Linked DNA regions of Xenopus tropicalis. The protein of the gene in region 1 interacts with the protein of each later gene in a pairwise test. Links are inferred from orthologs where the notes say so. Each region holds a gene or a part of one and is shown on either strand. Other genes may lie near its edges.

Region 1 (3,565 bases):
AGCGACAGTGATGGCTCACAGAGCCCCCGATCTCTCCCACCCCCAAGCCCAGCCCGTCCTGCCCCGCGCTCTTCACATGCTATATCCTCATCACCACTACTTACTGCACCCCATGTGAGTATTCCTTGTCTAAATCTCTATGGTCAGCTCTGTGGGATAGATGGTAGGTGGCACACCAACCCGCTGATGTTTACTCATGGCCTTGGCCCAAAAATCTCTAGTAGCCAATAACCATTAATATTTGATTTGGGTTATGTTACTGGAGATAAGTAACATTACAACAAAAGAAACTTGGTCACACGTTGGACTCTCCCTATGTTAAATATACTGGTACAATGATGTGTCGTAGAGAAGCTGTAATGTCTGTTTTTATTTGGGTGCGTAGAAACTACAAGGCACATCTGGCCCGTTGATGCTGACCGAGGAGGAGAGACGGACTCTAATCGCTGAGGGCTACCCCATTCCCACTAAACTCCCCCTTACAAAGACCGAAGAGAAGGCTCTGAAGAGAGTGCGAAGAAAGATCAAGAATAAGGTGAATGGCGGCTTCTATACCCTTCCAGTGTCATCTTGTGGGACCTATCCTTAATCCTTGAAACTAGGCAGCCACCTAATCCATCATTTGCCCGAAGAGTGACTCCACCACAAATCTTTAATAATTTTAGTAAAGTGTCCTCTGCTCCTGGTATTATTTTAGAGGTTTATTGGGGGCAGACTGACATTAAGGGTTTTCAATGCAGCACCCAAGAGAATGTTGGGCATACGTAACTTGGTGGTCTGAAGAGTGCCTTGGCAGACGGCTATTTTTGTGTTTGGGGGAAGCTATTTAAAGATATTTTCTACACAGATATCTTCATAGTTTCCCATGGCCAATTCCGTGTATAATACCCCAGAACACACAGCAGAATAAATACAGCGCCAATTCCATGTATAATACCCCAGAACCCACAGCAGGATAAATACAGTGCCAATTCCGTGTATAATACCCCAGAACACACAGCAGAATAAATACAGCGCCAATTCCATGTATAATACCCCAGAACCCACAGCAGGATAAATACAGTGCCAATTCCATGTATAATACCCCAGAACACACAGCAGAATAAATACAGCGCCAGTTCCATGTATAATACCCCAGAACCCACAGCAGGATAAATACAGGGCCAATTCTATGAATAATACCCCAGAACACAAGGCAGGATAAATACAGTGCCAATTCCATGTATAATACCCCAGAACACATGGCGGGATAAATACAGTGCCAATTCCATGTATAATACCCCAGAACACACAGCAGGATAAATACAGTGCCAATTCCATGTATAATACCCCAGAACACACAGCAGGATAAATACAGTGCCAATTCCATGTATAATACCACAGAACACACGGCAGGATAAATACAGTGCCAATTCCATGTATAATACCCCAGAACACACGGCAGGATAAATACAGCGCCAATTCCATGTATAATACCCCAGAACACACAGCAGGATAAATACAGTGCCAATTCCATGTATTATACCCCAGAACCCACAGCAGGATAAATACAGTGCCAATTCCATGTATTATACCCCAGAACCCACGGCAGGATAAATACAGTGCCAATTCCATGTATAATACCCCAGAACCCACGGCAGGATAAATACAGTGCCAATTCCATGTATAATACCCCAGAACACACGGCAGGATAAATACAGTGCCAATTCCATGTATAATACCCCAGAACACACAGCAGGATAAATACAGTGCCAATTCCATGTATTATACCCCAGAACCCACAGCAGGATAAATACAGTGCCAATTCCATGTATTATACCCCAGAACCCACGGCAGGATAAATACAGTGCCAATTCCATGTATAATACCCCAGAACACACAGCAGGATAAATACAGTGCCAATTCCATGTATAATACCCCAGAACACATGGAAGATTAAAGAGAGCCCATGGGCAGACTGCTTGAATGATGAATGGGATTTGAAGAGGCTACAGTTTGATCATAGATATGTGCACTCATGCAAATCTCTAAATCTTCCCATCCAGATCTCAGCCCAAGAGAGCCGAAGGAAAAAAAAGGAATATGTGGAGTGTCTGGAGAAAAAGTGAGTTGTCAAGGTTGAGAAGATCCTTTATACTTTAGCTGTGTGCCATACTTGTCAGGACTTGGAAGGGCGGGGGGCTTGGAATCAGGATACGGCTGGGGAGTCACTTAGTGAGAAGTTTTATGATGAAGAAACTAAATGACTGCTATTATTTTGGGAAGACAGTGGAGCAGTAAATGAAGGAAACGGGAATTTTGTGATCCTGCACACAACTATTCCGCTTATAGAAGGGAACAATGAAATGAACAATGAAATTAGCCTTAGTCATAGGATAGTGCTTGGAATGGTCATTTCAGAAGTGACACCGGACATCACTTGGATAAAGAGGTCAGGTAGATGTTTGGAGAAGAGCTGAGGATCAGTATGAAGCAGGATGGAAAAAGAAGGAAAATATCTTGCAGAAAGAAGAGTTTTGGTTGTGTATGAAGGGACCTGGGAATGATAAAAGAGATAGGAGGAGGGGAAGGAGTTAAGAAGCTACCTGCATGGTCTACTTGTACAGGGTGGCTTTGGGCTCAGGGTGGCTCTGGGATAAGGGTGATTTTGGGCTCAGGGTGGCTCTGGGATAAGGGTGGTTTTGGCCTCAGGGTGGCTCTGGAATAAGGGTGGCTCTGGGATAAGGGTGACTTTGGGCTCAGGGTGGCTCTGGGATAAGGGTGGCTTTGGGCTCAGGGTGGCTTTGGGATAAGGGTGGTTTTGGGCTCAGGGTGGCTCTGGGATAAGGGTGGCTCTGGGATAAGGGTGGCTCTGGTATAAGGGTGGCTCTGGGCTCAGGGTGGCTCTGGGATAAGGGTGACCCTGGGATCAGGGTGGCTTTGAGCTCAGGGTGGCTCTGGGATAAGGGTGGCTTTGGGCTCAGGGTGGCTCTGGGATAAGGGTGGCTTTGGGCTCAGGGTGGCTCTGGGATAAGGGTGGCTTTGGGCTCAGGGTGGCTCTGGGATAAGGGTGGCTTTGGGCTCAGGGTGGCTCTGGGATAAGGGTGGCTTTGGGCTCAGGGTGGCTCTGGAATGGTGGAGTTCTAAGGACAATTGTTGTGCTTGTCCTTCTAGAGTGGAAACCTTCACATCACAGAACAACGACCTGTGGAAGAAAGTAGAAACCTTGGAGAACGCCAACAGGTGAGGGGTGTGGGAAAGCACTAAGATGGGTAATCCAATTTCAAGCTGTTTGACTCCAAAACTGATCAGTTTTTTTCCCCATAAATATTTTGCTGGTCATCTGATGCCCTTTCTCATTCCCTAATGGAGTTCACTGGCACTCTGTCCCTAACATAGGTATAATTGGGTAATATAAGTGGAATTAATGGAATAGCGGTATTCTAGCACCACCTGCTGTCAACAATGTAAACTGCAAAATATCTATATCATCTATCTATCTATCATCTCTATCTATCTATCTAATTATTAATCTATCTGTCATCTATCTATCTGTCTAGTTACCGAGCATGCTAGGAGTTAAGGT
Region 2 (4,336 bases), on another chromosome or scaffold:
CATTCTCTGTAGTACTTCACCCAGCCAGCCACCCATTCTCTGTACTAGTACTGCACCCAGCCAGCCACCCATTCTCTGTACTAGTACTGCACCCAGCCAGCCACCCATTCTCTGTACTAGTACTGCACCCAGCCAGCCACCCATTCTCTGTAGTACTTCACCCAGCCAGCCACCCATTCTCTGTACTAGAACTGCACCCAGCCAGCCACCCATTCTCTGTACTAGTACTGCACCCAGCCAGCCACCCATTCTCTGTAGTACTTCACCCAGCCAGCCACCCATTCTCTCCAGTACTGCACCCAGCCAGCCATTCTCTGTAGTACTTCACCCAGCCAGCCACCCATTCTCTGTACTAGTACTGCACCCAGCCAGCCACCCATTCTCTGTAGTACTTCACCCAGCCAGCCATTCTCTGTACTAGTACTGCACCCAGCCAGCCACCCATTCTCTCCAGTACTGCACCCAGCCAGCCAGCCAGCCATTCTCTGTAGTACTTCACCCAGCCAGCCACCCATTCTCTGTACTAGTACTGCACCCAGCCAGCCACCCATTCTCTCCAGTACTGCACCCAGCCAGCCACCCATTCTCTGTAGTACTTCACCCAGCCAGCCACCCATTCTCTGTAGTACTTCACCCAGCCAGCCACCCATTCTCTGTACTAGTACTGCACCCAGCCAGCCACCCATTCTCTGTACTAGTACTGCACCCAGCCAGCCACCCATTCTCTGTACTAGTACTGCACCCAGCCAGCCACCCATTCTCTGTAGTACTTCACCCAGCCAGCCACCCATTCTCTGTACTAGTACTGCACCCAGCCAGCCACCCATTCTCTGTAGTACTTCACCCAGCCAGCCACCCATTCTCTCCAGTACTGCACCCAGCCAGCCACCCATTCTCTGTAGTACTTCACCCAGCCAGCCACCCATTCTCTGTAGTACTTCACCCAGCCAGCCACCCATTCTCTGTACTAGTACTGCACCCAGCCAGCCACCCATTCTCTGTACTAGTACTGCACCCAGCCAGCCACCCATTATCTGTACTAGTACTGCACCCAGCCAGCCACCCATTATCTGTACTAGTACTGCACCCAGCCACCCACCCACCCATTCTCTGTACTAGTACTGCACCCAGCCAGCCACCCATTCTCTGTACTAGTACTGCACCCAGCCAGCCACCCATTCTCTGTACAGGTATGGGATTCATTATATGGAAACCAGAAAGTTCCAAATTATGGAAAGGCCATCTCCAATGGACTCCATTTTAAACAAATAATTCAGATTTTTAAAAATGATTCCCTTTTCTCTGTAATAATAATACAGTACCTGTACTTGATCCCAACTAAGATATAATTACCCCTTATTGGGGCAGAACAGCCCTATTGGGTTTATTTCATGGTTAAATGATTCCCTTTTCTCTGTAATAATAAAACAGTACCTGTACTTGATCCCAACTAAGATATAATTACCCTTTATTGGGGCAGAACAGCCCTATTGGGTTTATTTCATGTTTAAATGTTAAGGCATGGAGATCCAAATAACAGAAAGACCCCTAGAATACCCTAGGCCTGAGCATTCTGAATAACAGGTCCCATACCTGTACTGCACACCACCCAATCTCTCTACCACGCCCACCCAAAGCCACCCAGGGGATAACTGGGAGCAGGGAATATGATGGCGCCTCTGCACACATTAGTTTGGGCAACAAAGCAAAGCTGCAGAGCAGATAATTAGCAAAATATACACAGAACAGTATTCTTTTATTTGCTTGAAATGTTCCATGCTTGTTCTTTAATGGTGCAAGACACACAGAACATAAATAGCACAATGTGTGGCCGACTCCATTGGGAACTTACCGTAGACGAACTGCGAGTTGTCTGTAAATGAAAAGAAAACAAAGGACAAGTTAAAATCATTTGCTTCAAGCAAACTTCTCTGTGTATGAAAGTTATCCCCGAGTACATATGGACAGTCTCAGGATCTGGATGAAGCCCGCAGACACAGAGCCTAGGGGCCACATTTCAGTTACTTACGTTCGGGACTCTTAGCATGGAGACCAGGGAGAGCTGAGGGGGAAATAAGAGATATAATAATTATATTATTCAGGGGGTGGAACAGTCCAATAACTAGAGCATACAATCATTTACTTTTAGTATGTTACAGAATGGCCAATTCTAAGCAATGTTTTTATTGGTCTTCATTATTTATTTGTTATAGTTTTTAAATTATTTGCCTTCTTCCAACTCTTTGCCGTTTTTAAAATGGGGGTCACTGACCCCAGCAGCCAAAAAAAAAACCTATTGCTCCAGTTTTATTGTTATTGTTACATCTTAGAACTTCTTTTTCTATTCAGCCCCTATCTTATTCATATTCCAGTCTTTCATTTAAACCACTTCCTGGTTGCTAAGGTAATATGGACCCTAGTGACCAGATAGCCGCTGAAACTCCAAACTAGAGAGCTGCTGAACAAAAGGTGAACACAAAGGTGAACAACCCCATTAAGACCCACTCTCTGCTCAAACCTAGATTAAAGCTGCCAATTATGGGGGCCCTAAACCCCCCTTAGGCTTGCTGTGTTTGACTGTACACTCCCAGCATGCACTGTAGTACAGGTAGCTGGCTGAAGGCAGCCCGAAGGCAAGGAGGGACTTTGAAAGCCTTTAAATAAATAACTGCACGGATCTAACCCTCAATCCTCCAACGGGAAAATGGCTTCTTCCTCCATATTGGGACAGACATATTCTACCCAAGTTATATAGGATTTGTACATACCTGTCAGCATCAAAAAGAAGGCTACTGTTGCTTCCTGCATCTTCTAGCAGCAGTTCCTCGCAGCCTGGGGAGAAAGCAAAGCACAGAGTAAACAGCCGCACCTTAAGTAGATTGAATTTGCTATTTATTTTATACGGTCGCACACCAGATGTCACACTCAGTGATTGGCCGGCAGACTCGGGGTAGAAGGGGTTCATAGAACAGACAGGAGCATTAAATAAAGGTATATGCCAACTATACAACAATAACTTCATCAAAGGCAAAAGCCAAAGGATAAGTTTAGTTTCAGAGCTATTAAAGTTTTTATTAACTGCCAATATAATGAATTTTGTAACAGCGCCACCTGCTGGTCAGTTCCTGTAACTGTACAGACAGAGATATCCCTTCAGAAGGAAAACAGAGAAGGGTTCTGATGTTGCTCTAGAAGGAGATGGGAAAGGGCAACTGAGGTTTCTGATCTCTTGGTCTGACCAACTATTGGATTACACCAGTGGAGGATGGACTCGCCAAACCCCACCGCCACTATTTCCTTGCAGAGAAAGGCAGCAGTTAAAGCTGCAGATTCGAGTCCTTTAGACCAAATAATCTGATCCCTAGGGCCAAAACGTTAGAATTAGCCCAATATTGCCCACCTTAAGAGGTCATATTGGAGAAAGATCCGCTCATTTTGCGGATATATAATACAATTATATTTTTTACAAATTATGGCCACCTTAACAGGAACAACCCAGAGCAGTGTTAGTAGTGTGTATGCTCCTTCCCTTCCATCCTCATTTACATAGCCTGAATTGTGCTAATGAGTAAATGTCATTAGGAAATAAGACACTATATAAGTATATTATCTATAAGAATATTCAGGTATCAGACCCCTTATCCGGAAACCCATTATCCAGAAAGTTCCAATTTATGGAAAGGCAAAATATACATTTTTATAAATAATTTACTTTTTCTCTGTAATAATAAAACAGTACCTGTACTTGATCCCAACTAAGATATAATTACCCCTTATTGGGGCAGAACAGCCCTATTGGGTTTATTTCATGGTTAAATGATTCCCTTTTCTCTGTAATAATAAAACAGTACCTGTACTTGATCCCAACTAAGATATAATTACCCCTTATTGGGGCAGAACAGCCCTATTGGGTTTATTTAATGGTTAAATGATTCCCTTTTCTCTGTAATAATAAAACAGTACCTGTACTTGATCCCAACTAACACATATAATTAAAAGACAATTTGCAATTGGTCTGGGATCATAGGAGTCACAGTGCACACAAACAAGCCAAGGCACACATACATGCTAGGCCCCATCAGCCAATGAATGGGCAGAGTTCTGCCTGTTACTCCCACACTACTTCCTGTTACAGTTAGAGCTGCATCACTTCCTGTCAGCTGATCTCTGAGGGAGCACACAGCCCATCACTAAATGGCGGCTCAAGGGAAAGGATGTGAAAGGGCAATATTTACTGATATATATTTTCCAGTTTGGGGAGATTCTTTAATAGGCCACTTAACATAATATAAACGGTCTGTTGGTTACGTATTCATCCTGGGGGTGTAGTTTCCCT

The links. The genes of interacting proteins can lie anywhere in the genome.
Region 2: the proteins of creb3l1 (region 1) and fxyd3 interact in binary tests that used the Homo sapiens proteins (3 or more experiments, as listed by UniProt). The two-hybrid records come from large-scale screens. The link is inferred for Xenopus tropicalis from reciprocal best matches to the Homo sapiens genes CREB3L1 and FXYD3.

What each region holds. Positions count from the first base shown.
Region 1 is NC_030680.2:13,410,573-13,414,137, reverse strand, and holds part of creb3l1 (cyclic AMP-responsive element-binding protein 3-like protein 1), read left to right. Parts: coding exon 1-114; intron 115-385; coding exon 386-535; intron 536-2,045; coding exon 2,046-2,104; intron 2,105-3,153; coding exon 3,154-3,222; intron 3,223-3,565.
Region 2 is NC_030683.2:126,673,830-126,678,165, forward strand, and holds the start of fxyd3 (FXYD domain-containing ion transport regulator 3 precursor), read right to left. Parts: upstream 2,850-4,336; 5' UTR 2,809-2,849; coding exon 2,769-2,808; intron 2,063-2,768; coding exon 2,030-2,062; intron 1,874-2,029; coding exon 1,853-1,873; intron 1-1,852. UniProt on the Homo sapiens protein: Associates with and regulates the activity of the sodium/potassium-transporting ATPase (NKA) which transports Na(+) out of the cell and K(+) into the cell.